Linked DNA regions of Medicago truncatula. The protein of the gene in region 1 interacts with the protein of each later gene in a biochemical or structural test. Links are inferred from orthologs where the notes say so. Each region holds a gene or a part of one and is shown on either strand. Other genes may lie near its edges. The genes, in order: CBL-interacting serine/threonine-protein kinase 24 and calcineurin B-like protein 7.

What was found.
Region 2: the proteins of CBL-interacting serine/threonine-protein kinase 24 (region 1) and calcineurin B-like protein 7 form a complex in vitro, tested with the Arabidopsis thaliana proteins (3 studies listed by BioGRID, with this or other methods). The link is inferred for Medicago truncatula from reciprocal best matches to the Arabidopsis thaliana genes SOS2 and SOS3.

Annotation. Positions count from the first base shown.
Region 1 is NC_053045.1:55,310,440-55,318,992, reverse strand, and holds the start of CBL-interacting serine/threonine-protein kinase 24, read left to right. Parts: upstream 1-4,438; 5' UTR 4,439-4,809; coding exon 4,810-4,974; intron 4,975-5,320; exon of another isoform or gene 5,321-5,501; intron 5,502-7,211; coding exon 7,212-7,274; intron 7,275-7,365; coding exon 7,366-7,437; intron 7,438-7,584; coding exon 7,585-7,692; intron 7,693-7,795; coding exon 7,796-7,870; intron 7,871-8,147; coding exon 8,148-8,201; intron 8,202-8,553. UniProt on the Arabidopsis thaliana protein: Involved in the regulatory pathway for the control of intracellular Na(+) and K(+) homeostasis and salt tolerance.
Region 2 is NC_053044.1:45,063,764-45,072,947, reverse strand, and holds the start of calcineurin B-like protein 7, read left to right. Parts: upstream 1-5,547; 5' UTR 5,548-5,752; intron 5,753-8,428; exon of another isoform or gene 8,429-8,708; intron 8,709-8,960; 5' UTR 8,961-9,065; coding exon of another isoform or gene 9,066-9,093; coding exon 9,094-9,178; intron 9,179-9,184.

The DNA.
Region 1 (8,553 bases):
AGATGGAAGAATCCAATATTCCAATCAAGATTGATGATAAATCAGCAGGTGATGTAAAAGAAGATAAGGTTGAGATAGAAAAAGATCTGGAGATTAAATCAGTAGAGAGAGAGAAGAAACATAAGGATGAAGATAAAGACGATGAGAAAAGGGAAAAGAAGGATATGGAGAAGAAGAAGGAAAAGAAGGACAAAACTGATGTAGAGGAGAATGAACATAAGAAAGACAAAGATAAGAAGAAAAAGGTGGAAAAGAATCCAAGTTTCAATGGTTAGTGAAGATAGTAAGATAAGAATCTAGTGTTGAGAGACTATTGTAATAGTGTGTTCTTTGTATGATCCAATGGTTAGAAAAGACTTTCCCATGGTGGGAAAGAAGTCTCCTTTCCCAAATTAAATGTCACCTCACTTATATAACTCAGTCTAGAGTTTGAAAAATGATAACTTATATCCTTAACTTATGTCTATCATGTATAAGTTAACATGATCCTTTACTTTACGTAAGTTATCTGAACTTAATTTACATGTTTTATGTAAGTTAATGGAGAAGAAGAAAGAGAAATATAGTTGTTGGTTCAAGAGAATATAGAAGAGGCAAGCGAGTAAAAATTAGTTAAAAATATGTTTGAATCAAAGGGAAGGGAAGAAGTTTTAAATGATTTAGTCACGCTTCCTTAAAAAAAAAAATATAATTTAGTCAAGCTCTCATCGTCCCATGCCCTTCAAATAATCCCCCAATTTGAGGGGAAGCGAAAACGAATTAAGATGAGTTTTGTTTCCCTCCTCTCCCTTTCTTAAAAATTACACCGAATGTTATGATTTAAACTATTATTTGTTTGCATCTACTTCCAACCAAACATACCTTAAAAATGATAAGAACAATATTTTTTAGTCTATTGGACAAATAATTCTTACAATAACATTATACGTTGCATTAAGGTTAATCTAAAAATGTGTTTAATAGTACTTAATCTTAATTAATTTCTTTTGGCAACAATATCTCAGTAATTTTTAATTAGCCATTTTTGTCTTTTGTTTTTTATTTTTGAAAATTTAGTTGTATCTTTACAAATTATGCATTATTGGTTCATCTATAAAGGTGTTATCCAATCGTTAGCGAAGGATGTTGATGTACCAATAAATGGACGTTGATGTGCCAATAAATGGATGCTGTTAGTGCATTAGGTTCATTTAGCATATGGGTGTTTATAACCAATCCAATTTGAATTTTTTTTTTTTAATTAAAGGGAAAGGAAAAAAGTAACAATAGAAAAAACAAATAATTACAACTTTTCTATTTTTATTTCTTGTCCCTTTATGTAAGGTCTCTTTCAAATTTTCAAATGCAATACACCTTTAATTGTGTTACAACTCGTGATAAATACTCTAATGAAAATATTAATAATCATCTCTACAAAATTGCAAAACAACGTCAACAATCAACAATTAATCCAGTAATGAATGTAAACTTCAATTGAATCCAGGTTTATTCCTAAATTGATTGACTGTTTTTGACTCGCTTAACGAAGCACATAGATAACGCTAACGGTAGCAAGTTACCGCTGGTGGTTCAATTCTTTGTTGCCTTCTCATTTATGTTTTATCTTCATTCACATATAAAAACAAGGACAAATCATTGTGATGATTACCATCCTCATCCTCATGTATCAAATCCTAATACTTAAATATATAATAGAGTGGGAAAATCACATGTTTTTCTATCAATCTTAGTTAATCAATGTCATGGAATATATATTGAAAACTACATAAATTTAAAACTTATCAGTTGGTTTGGCCTTCTTGATGTTGATGGTGCCGGTAAAGCCATACTGCCAAGACTTTTTACAACCTCGGGTGCATAGGTCAAACTTAGCCTTGACCCGGAGAACTGACATTTCCAGCGATGAAGATCGTATTGTCCCATCGAACGTGTCAAATTTGTTATCGAACTAGAGATTTATCTGAGGTATTGGTTGATAATCCTCAAATGTGATTCCTTTTCTTCAGCAAGTAACTGAGAAAAGAACTATATCCCTCAATTGTGGGTTCCTTAACTGCTCATGTAGAGCGTTTTTTTACTACTAAACTAAGAAATACATGAAAATAAAGATAAATTTAGAAAGATAAAAGGATAAAATAACGTAAATAGATTATGTTTGATTGATGTGGACTGAATACAATGTACAAAATGAGTATTTATATGAAAAAGTATTCATATTGGCCAAATGACATGATCTATATTGTTTAGCATTTCTCGGATATTTGCGTAGATAGTACATTAGTTTTCCTTAGTTAAGGGGTTCGTGGTATCCCACGTTCGGCTAACAACTTTCGACTTCACAACATGATCCGTTGACAAGGTTCAATATGCTCAACCTTTCTCAAAACGTGTCTCTTTACTCATCGTTCCTTGTGGTTATTGGCGCTATAAACATGAAACCTGAGTTCAATGCCTCATTGTCCAGTTCTGTTGAGCTTTGACTTAGTCTAATGTCTTAAATACCCATACACTCTTCAGTAGACTTGAGAAAGAATTGACCGACCCTTGTTCTACTGCAACAACACTCGCCTAATCTTTAATTGACGACTCAGAGGGAGGGGGAACTCCTTATTCTTCCAACTACTAAATGCGAAACTTTTATTAGTACTCACTTTGGCACAACAACACTAACAAACGATTTTAAACAATTTTGTAACTCGCTTACTGATGAGCCTTGCTATATGGTATGAGAGAATCGGCACACGAACTGCACGACGTGTTGATCTACATGTGAGATTCTCTCTTAATGGATACTAGCTTATAACTTTTTCAATATAAAAGACAAAAGAAGATAAAATAAACACTTAGAAGTGGAAACATCCTTGAATTGTGTACTCCAATATATATCCACTTTTTGACACATCATTGAAGAGGTAACTTAGAAGCTAGAGTGAGATATATATGAAAAAGCACCGCTACAAGAAAAAGGTGCATGTAATTTCTCAAATTCTTATAAACAAACATATACGTGATACTAACATGGAGTCAAATGACAATAAAAACTCAAATAACAATAAAAAAAAAAGTCATTCGTGCGTTTGCGACGAAAATACTGTCGTGCACTTAAGCTTTTCCCTTTACTAATAACATAAACACGTTTTAATTTGCAACTTTATATTTTTTTTAGAGGAATTTGCTAATATATTTTTAAAGTCAAAAGCCCCTATGTTACTCGTTTGTGTTGGTTTGTTGCAATTTGCACGTTTAACTCCATTCTGTTTAAATGTTATATCTATTTTAGCTTTTGGTGCGTCATGTTATGAGTTCTTGTGTTATGTTATTTTACACAAGTTTGGATGAATCATTCATGCTCATTGTGCTGTTGAAGGAATTCCAAATGCTCGCTCAAAACACATTCAAGAGTTAGCAAGAATACATGGTCCACACTCCAGGCATTTGCATTAAAAGAAATCACTTTCTGAAGGGTCATATATAATTTCATAATGCTATTCCTCCTGGCTTGAATTTGTAATTAATTTAGTTCTAAACCAATATAAAGTAGCCTAGCTTTGTTTTCCATATTGGTACTTAATTTCAGCTGCTCTTATATATGATGCACAAGAAACCTACCCAGTAGGGTAAGGTGATTAATGGTGTAAATAGATATAAAATATAGAATAGTTAGTTGCATTGCATCATCTACTTTAATTTGGTAAACTTTTTCAAGAACTGGTTGTTGCTATAAATGGATGGAGTATATGTGGACTCCAATAGATATTGGGAAAGTTCTGTTTCCTAATGCTCACCTTTGATCATACAATTACACTTTTAATGTCAACTTTGTTTACTCTCTTCCTCAAAAAAGGAAAAAGTTATTTGTGCACTCTCATAAATTAATTGAATAAATAAGTATAAAAACGTAAGTACAAATATGACACTATTGCTTTCGTATTCATTATTGTTCACCAGTCCCCCACCCCACCCAAATATTGTACTTCTACGAGGGCTCATTAAAAATACTAGCCAATGAACAATATAATTTGTACATAAAAAATATTAATATATATAAATATGATTTTTTTGGCGGACAATATATACATATGAAATTAAACAACACACACCAAATACAAAATGCATTTGTCCTCCTGAGTTTTAATTCAGTTGATAGAGACAATATATAACATATGTAAAATTCGTAGTTTAAATTTCAACCATCATCAAAAAAATAAAAATAAAAAATATATTTAATGTTCTAAAAAAATATATTTAATTATCTACAAACTTCAAACAGTTGCGCGCAGAGAGGATACTTGATTTAAAAAAAAAAAAAACTTAAACTTAAACAAATAAAACAAGTTTTTATGCATTATTCACCGTTTGTAAAAGTAATTTATAAAAAATTGTTCATAAATATACAATTTTCGTTAACTTGTTACTTTGTTAAGCATGAACATGTAAATTAACATAAAAACTTATTTTTGTTCTAAAATAAGCCTAATTCAAACAGAAAATCCTGTGCATCTATTTCTCTTCTGTCTCTTGTTTGTTGTTGAAGCTTCACTTCAATTCAATTCAACCTCTGAAGCTTCACTTTCAGTTTTTCTAGAATCTTCCATTTCCGTTCTTACCTTAACTCTTTCTCCGATCCTCTTCTTCATCAAACACCACAACCTCTACTTTTCTTTTCAAGGATCGCGTTCCAGAATATTCTTCCTCTCATAGTTCGGAGCTAGCAGAAACTCACCTTAACAATTTCCGTTGAAAATTCGCTAATCAATTCGTGTTTCTAGGTCATTTCAACTTTCTTTGAATTGCGAATTGGTCACAATAATGAAGAAAGTGAGGAGGAAGATTGGGAAGTATGAAGTTGGTAGAACAATTGGTGAAGGCACATTCGCTAAGGTCAAATATGCAAAACACTCCGAGACAGGGGAAAGTGTCGCGATTAAAGTCATGGCTAAAACTACCATTCTCAAACACAGAATGGTTGAACAGGTTCCATTCTTTTTTTCCTTTCTAAAACTATGAGGGAAATATTTTATTCAATTTTTAGTGTATTTGTTAATCATCTTTATGTTTTGGTTCGTATGAGGTTATGCTTTTCTTAACATGTTTTACTGCATTAAATTTTTAATCAAAATAAAGATTAAAACTAGGCTACTTTGTCTTGAACGCCGACTTCAATCATAGAGATTTCCTACTGTCTGTGTCGATACTAGAAACTGCACTATGGCTGAAACCTACACTGCTAATGAAGTTAAAAGTGATTGCCTGGTTTCTATGTCGACAGGTAGGTGGTTATTAGGATGTAGTCGAGGAGTTCTTCCTATAACATAAATTCAAAGAAAATAAAGATGTTGTTCACCGAAAGATAGGCAATTTATTGACTTCAAGAGCGGAAAGGAATACTTACCTATGCCTCGAGTCCCAGTCTCCTAGTGGTGGGGATGGTAAAGGAAAATGTCTGGTTCTGGCTATGAGATGTCTTTGCCAAGCCTTTCCTCCCTGGCGGTCTACACCAGGTATGAACTCAATTTAAACTGGGATCAGAGGAAAAAAAAGGCTCTTTTCCTTTCTACCATGCTTTAGGCTGCTTATAGGAAAAAAGACTCTAGTTCCTTGCTCATTTACGCTGTAGGCGTAGAGCTATGGGAATGCTCAAAGGATGAGCACCGACCGGCCTACGTTTTGACTAGTCATCATCGGTTTATCTGTGTGCTGAAACCACCATCCATAGTCAATTCAATGGGTGGATAGCCACTCAACTTTTCACTGTGCATTCAATCACGTTTGCTATGAAATACCATTCCTTCGATTGCAGGACTGCTCATTCCATTAAACATAATTGTTTGTTTGAGAATCATTATAAGGAAAAACAAAGAAGCTAGATGATGAAATTACATGTCATTTCAGTTAAGGTAATTAAGCTACGAGAACATGACAGGGCTATTGAGGTTCTGTAAGGAGTAGGACAGAAAGGTATTTTCTTAGAAAAACGGAGGAAAGACGAAGTAGTTGGTTAATTTTAAGAAGATTAGTTAGATTAATAATAAGGGGGAGAACGGGTTGGTAGATCTTTCAAGGAATTTTTCAAGAGAAATAGGTGTTAGAGATCACACATTTACTAGTGATATGATCAACATAGTAGTTATAAGTGGGGGTAAACTGGTTTAAAAAAAAGGGGGTAAACTGTCACTTCATGAGCTAGTCTTTGAGGTTGAGTCTAAGTCAACCCAAATTCTTAGATGGTAATAGTGTTGTCAAATATTGGCCATGGCAGATATCGGTGGCAGGTTTTTGGCTTTCCACCATTTCCAATTTTGTGAAGGACAGCGGCGCCATAGTGCCATGGTCGGATATGGTGACGCCATATGTTAGCTGGTATGTCGGAATTTTCGTTCTTCGCCGCGATCCGCCATCTGCCATCGACAACACTGTGGCGTTGGCCTGTACTAGATATGTTATTGGGCCTCTTATAGATGTCTAGCCCTGGTCAATATAGTTTTTCTTAGTAAGTGGGGGGCAATCCTTACCCCAGGAGTAAGGAAAATACCCTTGTGAAGGGAAAATATTTGGGGGAAAGATCTTTCTCTTTGTCCCTTTTAATTTTTATTTTAGACTTTAGTCAATCAATCAATAAAATTGTTCTTTTCTTTTCTCTCTTTACATTGCACACTCCATACAGGTTCAAAATATAATTTAAGGTGGGATTCTTTTTTTTCTTTTTTCTTCGGTCAAATAGCCCAGTGGCTGAGGCTCACACATTTTAAATGTGAAGGAGTCCAGGTTTCGAACCCCGGCGCCTGCATATCATTTTCCTTGCAGCTACCAACCGAGCTGTGCTTACAGTTACAGGACAATTTAAGATGGGATTCTATTTCACTGATTCTGGTTATCTCTCTTGAGTATACACTGGACTATTAATGCTTCTGCGAAGTTATTATAAATCAATGCAAAACGATTCGAGTGTGTCATTGTTATGATAGTGTGTAATTGTTATACAAAACTTATGATTCTTTTCATCCAGCAAAATTAAAAAAGCATTTCGTCATGATGATGCCTGTTAGTGGATCTTATGTTGCATCTGAAGTCAAAGTCCTGCTTATATCTTTATGTGTGTGTTCTGTATTTATGCAGAATAATGATGTAGTTTGTTATACTCAATGCTTATCGTAATTCTTTCACCTTTTTGCTATTAGCTTTTCTAACTTGAAAGTTGAAACATGTTACAGATTAAAAGAGAGATATCCATTATGAAGATCGTCAGGCACCCGAATATAGTCAGATTGCACGAGGTGCACATAGATATCTGAATATATCAGGAGTTTCATCGTCTTTCTTTCTTTCTTTCCAAATTGTTTTTCTCACATTGCTTACAAATTTTAGGTTTTGGCCAGCCAGACCAAGATCTACATAATTCTGGAGTTTGTAATGGGAGGGGAATTATATGATAAAATTGTAAGAATTTTCATGCTTATATGTTACGAGATATATAGAGGTCAATTCTTCTACACTTCAATAGTTCCCAACTCGGACTTTTTGAACTAGTCAGCATTGACAAGGCAGATATTTATGTTTACTATTACACCTATTCTGGATCTGTAGGTTCAGCAGGTAAAGCTTTCTGAAAATGAATCTAGGCGCTACTTTCAACAACTTATAGACGCTGTTGCTCATTGTCATAAAAAGGGCGTGTACCATAGAGACTTGAAGGTGAAAGACAAAATACAATATCTGGTGTTTATAAGGTTTCTGCTGTAATTATTTTAACCTAGTTAAGTTTTTATCTTGATAATTTTTTTTCTTTCTTTAATAGCCTGAAAATCTTCTTCTTGATGCTTATGGAAATTTGAAGGTTTCTGACTTTGGATTGAGTGCATTGACTAAGCAGGTAAGAATCTACTCTACTTATAAAAAGGTGAGAGAAAATTATGAAGCATGGATACAGACACGAACACCGGATACGACACGGACACCGACATGGATAATAATTTGCGAAAATGACATAATTTAGTGTAATCCTAGGTGTGCGTCGGTGAGTGTCCCTGCTTCATAGGTTTTATCCCTTTGGCATGTAGTTGTTCATTTGTCTTTGAATATTGATTGTTGGAGATAGCAGAAGCGGCAGATCTAATGTCTTCCTTTTTCTATCCACTTCTTTCTTATAGGGTGACGAGCTTCTTCACACCACGTGTGGGACCCCAAATTATGTTGCCCCCGAGGTAAAATTGATTATACACACAATTCTAATGCCATTATTAATTAATGCGTTAATCTTTTTCTCATATTCCTCTGGATGCTTGGTCACTGGGATCAGGTTAACGGTAACATAATTGTCTGCATCAATTTTAGTCGTGGACAAATAATTGGGGATGAAATAGATCAATGCTATTGATGTCCTGTGCGTTGTACAATTTTTGGAATTTAATAGAACCTGAAATGGAATAGACTATGAGAGAGATGTTATGTAAAGGAGGATGTACAATTGAAATATATATATATATATATATATATATATATATATATATATATATATATATATATATATATATATATATATATATTTGAAGAAGC
Region 2 (9,184 bases), on another chromosome or scaffold:
AAAGTATCAAACATACTCAAAATGTGTTCTTTTGCCACCATTCAAAACCACATTATACTCTAACATCATTCAATCATCAATTAAAGTAACTACATTCAATTATAAACTACATGCAATTATCAAAAATTCAATTCCTACATTAACCCTAACCACATGAAAACTACCATTTTTTTTTTAAAAAACCTACACAAACTAACATTATGATTAAAAATGAGTCAAGATACTTACTTGTGATTAAATGGAGATGATGCACTTGATTTTGCTCAAAAATCGAAATGGGAGAAGTAGTTTGGTTTTGGAAAGTTTTTGAACACTTGAACAATACTCAGAAAACTGAGTTTCTGCTTCTGTTTATGTTCAGTTCGCATCGGCAGTTAACTGCCGAGGAAATCCTCGGTAGTTAACTGCCGCCGATTTTCTAAAACTTCGACAGTTAACTGCCAATAGACATTTATGTAAATTACTCGTGTGTCTCAGCCAAACCTAATGTGTCAACATCAATTCTCTTATTATAATAACTAGCGCTGCTCGTTGTAACTTTTTATATATTCTTGCTCACGGTTTTTTTTCTATCTTGCACTTAATTTGTATGTTAACCATTAGCTTTATTTTTGGGATACATAAAGGCAGAGATTAAAATTGTGGTTGAAAAAAAAATTTAGGAATAAAAATTGAAGAATTTTTTTTGTAAGAACTAACTCTAAAAATTGAAATATTTGTCAGGACAAAAACACACTTAACTATAAATTAAATACTAAAAAAATAAATACATTAAATAAAAAAATATTTATACATTTTTTTATTTTTTGAACGACAAAAATATATGTATATATAAATAAAAGGAAAAATCTTCTTCTAAAAGAGTGCAAAGAGATACAAATAGTGAGTACAAAAAATACTTTAATCAAGAGGTAACAAAACAAAAGGATCTCTCCCAAAGAAAACAAGAGTGAAACTAAAACTAAAACAACACTAGACAACCAACCAACCTCCCATCAGAACACTCAACCTCGACCAAATAGAAGGAAGACTAGGAACAGAATCTCACATACTTGGCGCTTATGAGGTACCTACATTAAAGATTTTTTTTAATACCTAATGAGACTGAGGTCTTAATGAAGCATAAGACGATAATGATGTCTCATATAAGATCACAATTCTATTTTTTCAAAAATAAGTTGATCTAAAAAACTAATTTCATAAAATATATAAATAATTGATTTGTCAAAAAAAATCATTGATAAAAAATAATCAATAGAGTTAAAAAATAATTGGTTCTCATTACCCACTGACTCCATCTTTCGTATAATACATCCTTTTGTCTCCGTCTTTATATCAAGATTACATTGTTCATTTTTTGAAAATCCAAAGTATTTACAATTTTTTTTGATTCCATCGAAAATAAAGTAGCGAGTTGGATCAAGAAGGGAAAAAATACGAAACAATAAAAAAAAACTTAAGATCAATAGTTGTGGTTGTTGGTGAATTCATGGATAAATAAAACAAAACTCAATGTCGATTGAGAGAGAGGGGATATGGCTTTTGGTTTAAAAAAATATTGTTCTGAATTTGGATATCCGGAAAAAAAAAAATGGGCTTATAAAACTCGACGAGATTATTTGGATGATGTTTTTTCCATGTACCTGAATATGTTGCACATCCCTACATGTGGGTAGCAATGTCCAATGGAGATTGGTATACTAGGAGAACATTTGAAGATAGTAGAAGAAAATCGGAGCTTTTGGTCGTAAGGTTAGTCGAAACAGTGGATGAGAGTCGAGTAGGAGAATGTGCCGTGAGGGAGAGTTAAGGTAAAGGATATCTTGATCTACAATGGACCAATTGTCAAGTTGGTCCATATTAGAGTTCGTCTTGAGAGAGAAGTAAGAGGGAGAGAAAGGTAGGATAAATATGACACTTATTTCGTTTGGTTGAGGAAAGGTATATCAAATAAAGAAAGAAGTAGACGAGACCCACGTAGTTTTGGCTTCTTCGCTCAAGTGCGGAGAAATGCTTGTTGTGATAGAAGTAATTAAGTTTTTTTTCTTCCAAAAATACCCTTATTCATTTATTACTTCGACGACTCTCTCGTCTTTCTCTACAATACCTCTGTCAATTTTGTAATCTACTCCTAATGGCTCTCCCATCACAAAATTGGTGAGGAAGAGAAACATTTGACACTCTCGATACTCTGTTCATGATGTAGGAAGTTAGTATTATTTCAAAGAGACACAAATGTTTGTGTGGGAGATTCGATCCATGAAGGTATCATGTTATTGGAAGGTAGAGATAGTCAGGATGTCGGGAAAAGAGGAATGATATTTTGACTACAAATTTTAAACAACTTCTAGTGACAACATTTTTTCTCTCTTTTTATTAGACAATAACAATAGAGAGAGAAAAGAAAAGAATGAGAATAAAATTACAATAAAAATATAAAAGTGAGTTATCATAAAAGTTGCTTAGAAATGATTGTTCAAATATCAATTTTTTTTTTGTAAAAATGGTCTGTCTTCGTTGTTGCATTGTTAGCATTTTGATTGACTTAATAATAGTTCTATTAAAAATTACTATCAAATTATATATTATATATTTTTTTTTAGTTTAAAGGCACTCTTGTCATTTTCAAAATTAACTACGACTCTCTCTTCTCGCACTGTCTTGATCTCTTCTCACTATCTTTATACTACTAAGCAAAACAATAATGAACTAAGAAGACGCTAAAAAGCTCGTATTGAAACATGTAGTTCCTCACGATGACCAATTGCACTAAAGTGAATATTAGGTTGGCAATGAACCGACCAACTCGATTATAGTTCGACATTCGACTCGATATTTAATCCGTTGAACTTGGTTCATGAACCTAACGAGCTGGACTTGAGCTGAAAATTAAGTTCGTTAATTAAATGAGCTGAACTTGAGCTACATATAGTTCGACTCGTTGGGTTCATGAGATGACTCGATTATCGATTATATATATAAATCAATTTGAGTTAGTTTTTTAAAAAAAATTAATTCAAATGAGGCAAATGTGGCTGAATACAATTTTGTCTTGAAGGGAAGAGCAGTTGGAGTTTAAAAGTAAAAGAATATTATGAATTTTGTTCACAGCTAATTGAATTTTGTTGGATTTTTTTGTCTCTGTTACTTGTATCAGATATTTTTCTTCGTATTTATGCAACATTTAACTTTATATAATTTATGTCTATTATATGCATGCTTGTGGGAACTTTTATTTTAATTTAATATTTAATTTTAAAATATATATATATAATATCAAAGATCTATAAATTAATTTTTTTTTTTTTATAATTATTTTTGGACGAGTTGAGCAACCGAACTGAACCTAACAAGCCGAACCGAAGTTCGTGACCTTCAAACGAGCCGAACTCGAGCTGAAAAAATAGTTCGTGTCGAACTCGAGTCGAACCAATTCTTATCGAGTCGAGCCGAGCTCAGGCAGGTTCGGTTCGACTCGACTCATTTCCAGCCCTAGTGAATATTAATGTAATGCACATTTAGAAACAATGTAAGTTTGACAAAATTACAATAAAACCTTGATTTTGTTGAGGTGACAACTAATGTACCCATGGAAGAATGACGGATAATTTACCTCAACCAATGAACATTCACATTTTTAGGTAGTATCCATGAACTATTTTAACTCCACTAATAAATTGCTCATTTTCATTAGTTGGTAGGTAAATTACCACATTTTAACCTTTTGGGTTGGAGCACATTTTAATTTTTTCAAAGTTACAATGTCTTTCCGTAATTTTTCAAAACCGGCGCAGATCCAAACATGTGTATAGTTTGTGCAAATATTTCTTTACAATTCATGTAATTATTGTTGGTCGCCAAATTTAGTTGCGGAGTACTACTCCAGTTTTTTACAAAAGAAAAAAAAAAAAGAATACATATATTTGAATCAAATACATATACATTTTTACTTGTAAAAATCAAGGGGAAAAAATATATTTTCAGTCAATGTTGCAAAAGCTGCGTCGTCACAAGTGTTGCAGATATATGTTTAGCCTCTCCTTAACATATTAGATTAAGTGTTGCAGATATAAAGATGTTTTTTTTATTTTTTATTTTAGTGTAGTGTGAAGACTACTATCTGTCTATCACCCCAAATTGTATACCCAAGTGGAAAAAAGAGGAAGAAACGAATATTTCATTTTATACGAAACAAATCGCGAGCTCATTGTTTCATTTGTTTCTTTGATTTTTATGTGTATGAATATGAATGTCTATGTGATGTCTTCTTATGAGATTTTTTAGGTGTGCAAGTTGAGATCTCGCCTATTGTTCAATGCATAAACACCAAACGAGGGCTTAATCAAATAGCTTAATCGGAAGACAAATACTCAAGTAAAAAATACTAATCGGAAGACATTTTGTGAAAATGAGAAATCAACAAGTGGATAAGTTATCTTGGCTAACCCTGGGACCGTTTCACAATAGCTTAATCAAAGCCAAGTCAAAAGGAAAACAAAAATAATAAGATGCATTGTATTTTCTTGGTATATAGACTACTCATTTTGGTCTAAATTATAAGCAATTTTTCTTTTTAGGATTAATTGAATAATATATATATATATACGGTCTATGTTATAAATTAAATATATTGATTATTAAATGCATCAAATTATTATTATTATTTTGGTAAAAAAAAATTGAGATAATACGGTATTGAAGTCAATATGAACCTTAGAAAACATTTATTTAATATATATGAAGAGGAACTATACCGATTCCATCCATCTAAATAGAGTTTTAGTTGTTATCGTAAGCATACCTCAGTTGACAGAGACAATATATTATTTTTTTCTTACAATATATTGTTATATTAATTCACATCAAAATAAGGTTTGAACCCCGTATATTCTACTAATTCACATTAAAAAATTATTTCCTTTGTCCCATATTAAGTAACCATTTTTAAAAAAAAATATTGTTGAAAGTAATCAACATATTTTACTCTTCAGTGCAATATTAATTACTTTTTCCAATTATAACTTTATTTTTTATGTATTAATTATAACTTTAATTAATACTACTTTCAACACTTTCAATTCAACATAGTCCACTTTACATTGATGATAATGGTGAATGAATACTTAAGATATATTCCACTTTATATTTATGACAATAACACTATTTTTTTTCTCTCTCTCCTTCACTAATTAATTTTTCTTAATATATGTGTGAAAGAGTAATGCTAGCAGCACTTTTTTAAACACTCTTTAATAATTATTCTTTTATTGATTTAAATAACTGTGGATCTACACTTTGAAAATTAAACTCACACAAAATAGTGAGACATATATTGATTACATCCAATAAACCGAATGTGAAAAGAGTGTTAAAAAATTAGTGTTGTTACCCTTTCTGATGTTTGAAATAGGCAAATAACCAATTAAATTGTTTAATATGTTAGGGAGGGGTGAGTTTTAGTCAAATAATTATGGGGATGTGGCAATCAGCCAGCTGGAAGATACATATTAATTAATAAATAAATAATCAATGAGAAAAGTTGAAAATGTTGCGGCTCTAAATTCCATTTCCAATTCAAAATGTGGCAAGCAGCCCGAGGTTAGAGTCTAACCGTTTAGAATAGACGCTACTTCTCCGGCAACAACACATAGGACTTACTTACGTTTTATCTCCAATTCCCATTCCCATACGAGAAAGCAAATATCAAGATTTATTTATTACCACTCCAGACCTCACCTGTTATGTTGTACAGGTCAGTATCTCCTTTTCCCCTTTTTCTATCTGTGTTCATGCACTTTCATTATTAAACTATCTTCACCTAATATCGGATCTTGTTTCAAATTTTAAGCATCTTCACCTAATATTGCCTCTTGTTATTTATTATGAGTTCTATCTATTCAAACAAACATTTGTTCTGTTCTTGTCCTTTGTGCATTGTGAAAATTTCAATATCATTCCCTTTAATTTCTATAGATATCAAATTTTAGGTATTTTCGATTAGATGGAATAAAATGTTGATTTTGTTTCTATAGTTGATTGGAATTAATAAATTTAGCCATAAATTTTACATTGAAAAATATTAGAAACACTCCTTTAACACTCACTCTCCTATGAAATCCATGCTGGTAATTTTCAAAGTGTATACACTAAATTTCAACTAATTAAAGAGTATAAGTTAGTAAAAGAGTGTTTTGCAAATTATTTGATTTTCCTACTATATATCTAATATATTTCTTTACCTAACATATATGAGTAATGATTTGACAATTCAAATTGTGCTTGCTGCCTGAGAATAGTGTGAAAAGTTATGTAGTTTGTCGGTTGACAAAGAAAGGGACATCAGAAAGAGTAATGATAATTGATATAACATATTTGACAACTTCTGTCACAATATTCTTTATCACTCTTTATATTCAGAAAAAAAAAACAATTGTTCAAAAATTATCGTAAAATTATAACAAATAACAATTCTCATCCAAAAATTGTGAAGTGAGCCCCCACAACTTTTTATAGTCTTGACTAAACAACGAAGAAAATAATAGAAAGAAAGAAGCACCCATTTTTGTAGTTCTCACGTTTCACGTGAATAAAGTGGCCTGCCAAATAGAGTACTATTCCGACGGCCTTTACTGTTTTTTACTAGCGGAGCCGTCGAAGGAATGGTAGGGGGACTTCTTCTTATAAGAGGCAGGGCTAGAACTTGTAAAGACACATATTTTAAGGATTCTCAACTAATGTGAGATTCTAAACACATCTTCCGATGTTCCGTTAACATTTACAACATAATCTTACTTGTGGACATCCTTGAAAGAAGAGTCTTATAATCACACTCTATTCAACATTTTCTCTAATACTTATTCTTTTGTTGAATGAAATCAACGTAATATTCTCATTTTAAAAATGAATTCCACATAAAATGATAAAATTTCACTCAATGAAAGAGCAAGTATTAAAAAAAAAGTTAAAAAAAAGTGTTCTTTAAGACTCCTCATCCATAAAATTGTATGATGATCGTTGCAAAGACACGTAAGAAATATAACAAACATGTATTTCTCTGGCCTCTGAGTGCTCATATTTTAAGGTATTTTGTTTTGTTTTTTTATATTTATGAAAGGACGTATCCTTCTCATCCAAAATCTAATTTTTTTTTTTTTTTATATATTTGAGAGAGTGACTTGTCCCTTCACTTGTTGTTTGAGGCCATGTCTCCTATCCTCGAGGAGCAACTTGAATTTCGTATCTTTTTTGTGAATATTAAGGGAGTGACTTCATTTTTATTTTATTTTGTATAATCCGTCATCTCTTACCTCTTTTTTTCTTCTTTTCTGCCAACCAAATATTGTCAAAGTAAGATGAGGTAGGGATAATGACTAATGAGGATGACTACCCATGTACTCTAACGGCTCTAAAGGCTAAATGTACATCTCCTACTTGTACTTGATTAGAATTGCCTGATTATTAATTAAGGTTGTGTTATTTATAAGCAAGTGGGGGAGGCCTATAATCTGTTCACCTAATTAAGTTTTCTCTGACTGTGTTATTAAAGCTCCATCTCTTGCGTGAATCATGCACATGACAACCTTTCTTTTCTTTTAATTTTTTTTGACGGATTTTCCTTTAATTTATAATGGGTTTTTTCAATCATTTGCTAATTAATTTGCACATATTCAAAAGTTTAAAATAATAAATTTATACATGATAGAAAAACCCATAATAAAGTCGTCAAAAGTTGCTTGAAATCCATAAGTTATATTTCAAATGATAATTGTCGATATTATTAAATCGGACACCATTCTAACATAAAACATCATAGTTATACGTCAACTTTAGATAGTGTGTATGTATCACTTCACTTCATCTACAAATCAAACAAAAAATAACGTGGCCAAATTATACGAGGCTGTAATGAATGGTGTCTTTAAACCATGGAGTAGGATCCTTTCTTGTTTTAGCAAAATAAAACAAATTCCGTTGTTTTTATATTATGTCTTTGTCTCCTCCATACGAGTGATACATGACATATCGTGTCCTTTTTTATTTTGAAAATAAACATAGCAACAATTTTGAGCAATCAAACAAATTTAGCCGACTCCATTTAAAGACTCGGATAGAGACGTGTTTTCTTTTGGATTATAGTGTTATTAGCCGACTTCATCATACCGTGATTTCGTCAAATTCACCATCAATCAAAACATGTACGAATAATTTTTTTAAGAAATAGATGTGACCCTCAGTTAAATATTGCATCATGAACTGGTGCCTCCTATTAATCAATCAATAGATTTGATACCGAGTTTGAAGAAAGTATCGTATCATGATTGAGTCATCAAAGTTGTTTTACCTCGTGTTTTTTTTCTGTTATTTTCTTCAAAATAAAATAAACCGAGAGAAGAAACCAGTATTTTAATTTCTTTCTTGATTTGCTTTGAGTTTTTCTGCAAACTAAATATTATTTATTAAGTTGTGAGTTGTATGGTATTGGTCAGTAGGGATAAGCTTGTCAATTCAATTCCAACTCATATGTTTCTACTTACCTTTGGCAAACGTGTATTTAAAGGTTTAATGTTGCTTTCACATGTTCATATAAATAACATAACCGAATGCCCGGTGAAGTTTGGTACTCCTGAATTTGTATGCCTCTTTTATGTAGTTATATAAGTTCGTTGTTGTAGCTATTTACAACCAAGTTGGTGCACTCTTCTTGTTATGTAAGCATTTTAATATCATTACTAAATTATTTTTGTTATATGAAACTTGACAAAGAAATGAATCATTAATATATATATATATATATATGTGTGTGTAAGTTTTTTTTGTTATGATCAAGTTGTAGTCCTCTTTGATTTTATTATGTGCGAGTGTGATTGATTTGTTTATTTATAATACTATTGTACCTTTTGCCAATTCTCAAATGATGACAAGTTAATTGATTTTGATTGGAATTTCTACAATATTTGCAGATATACAAATGCAACTTTTGGTCCAATAGCTTCCCTGGAATGAATGAATATATATTGTTAATTTGTAGAGAAAACTGGATGTGAATTTTGTGGTAATTCAATTTAATGGGCTGCTTTTGTTCAACTTCAAAGAATGTTAAAACACCTGGCTATGAGGATCCCACAATTCTTGCTTCTGAAACACCTTGTGAGTATCCATCCATCTTCATCATTAACCGGTAATT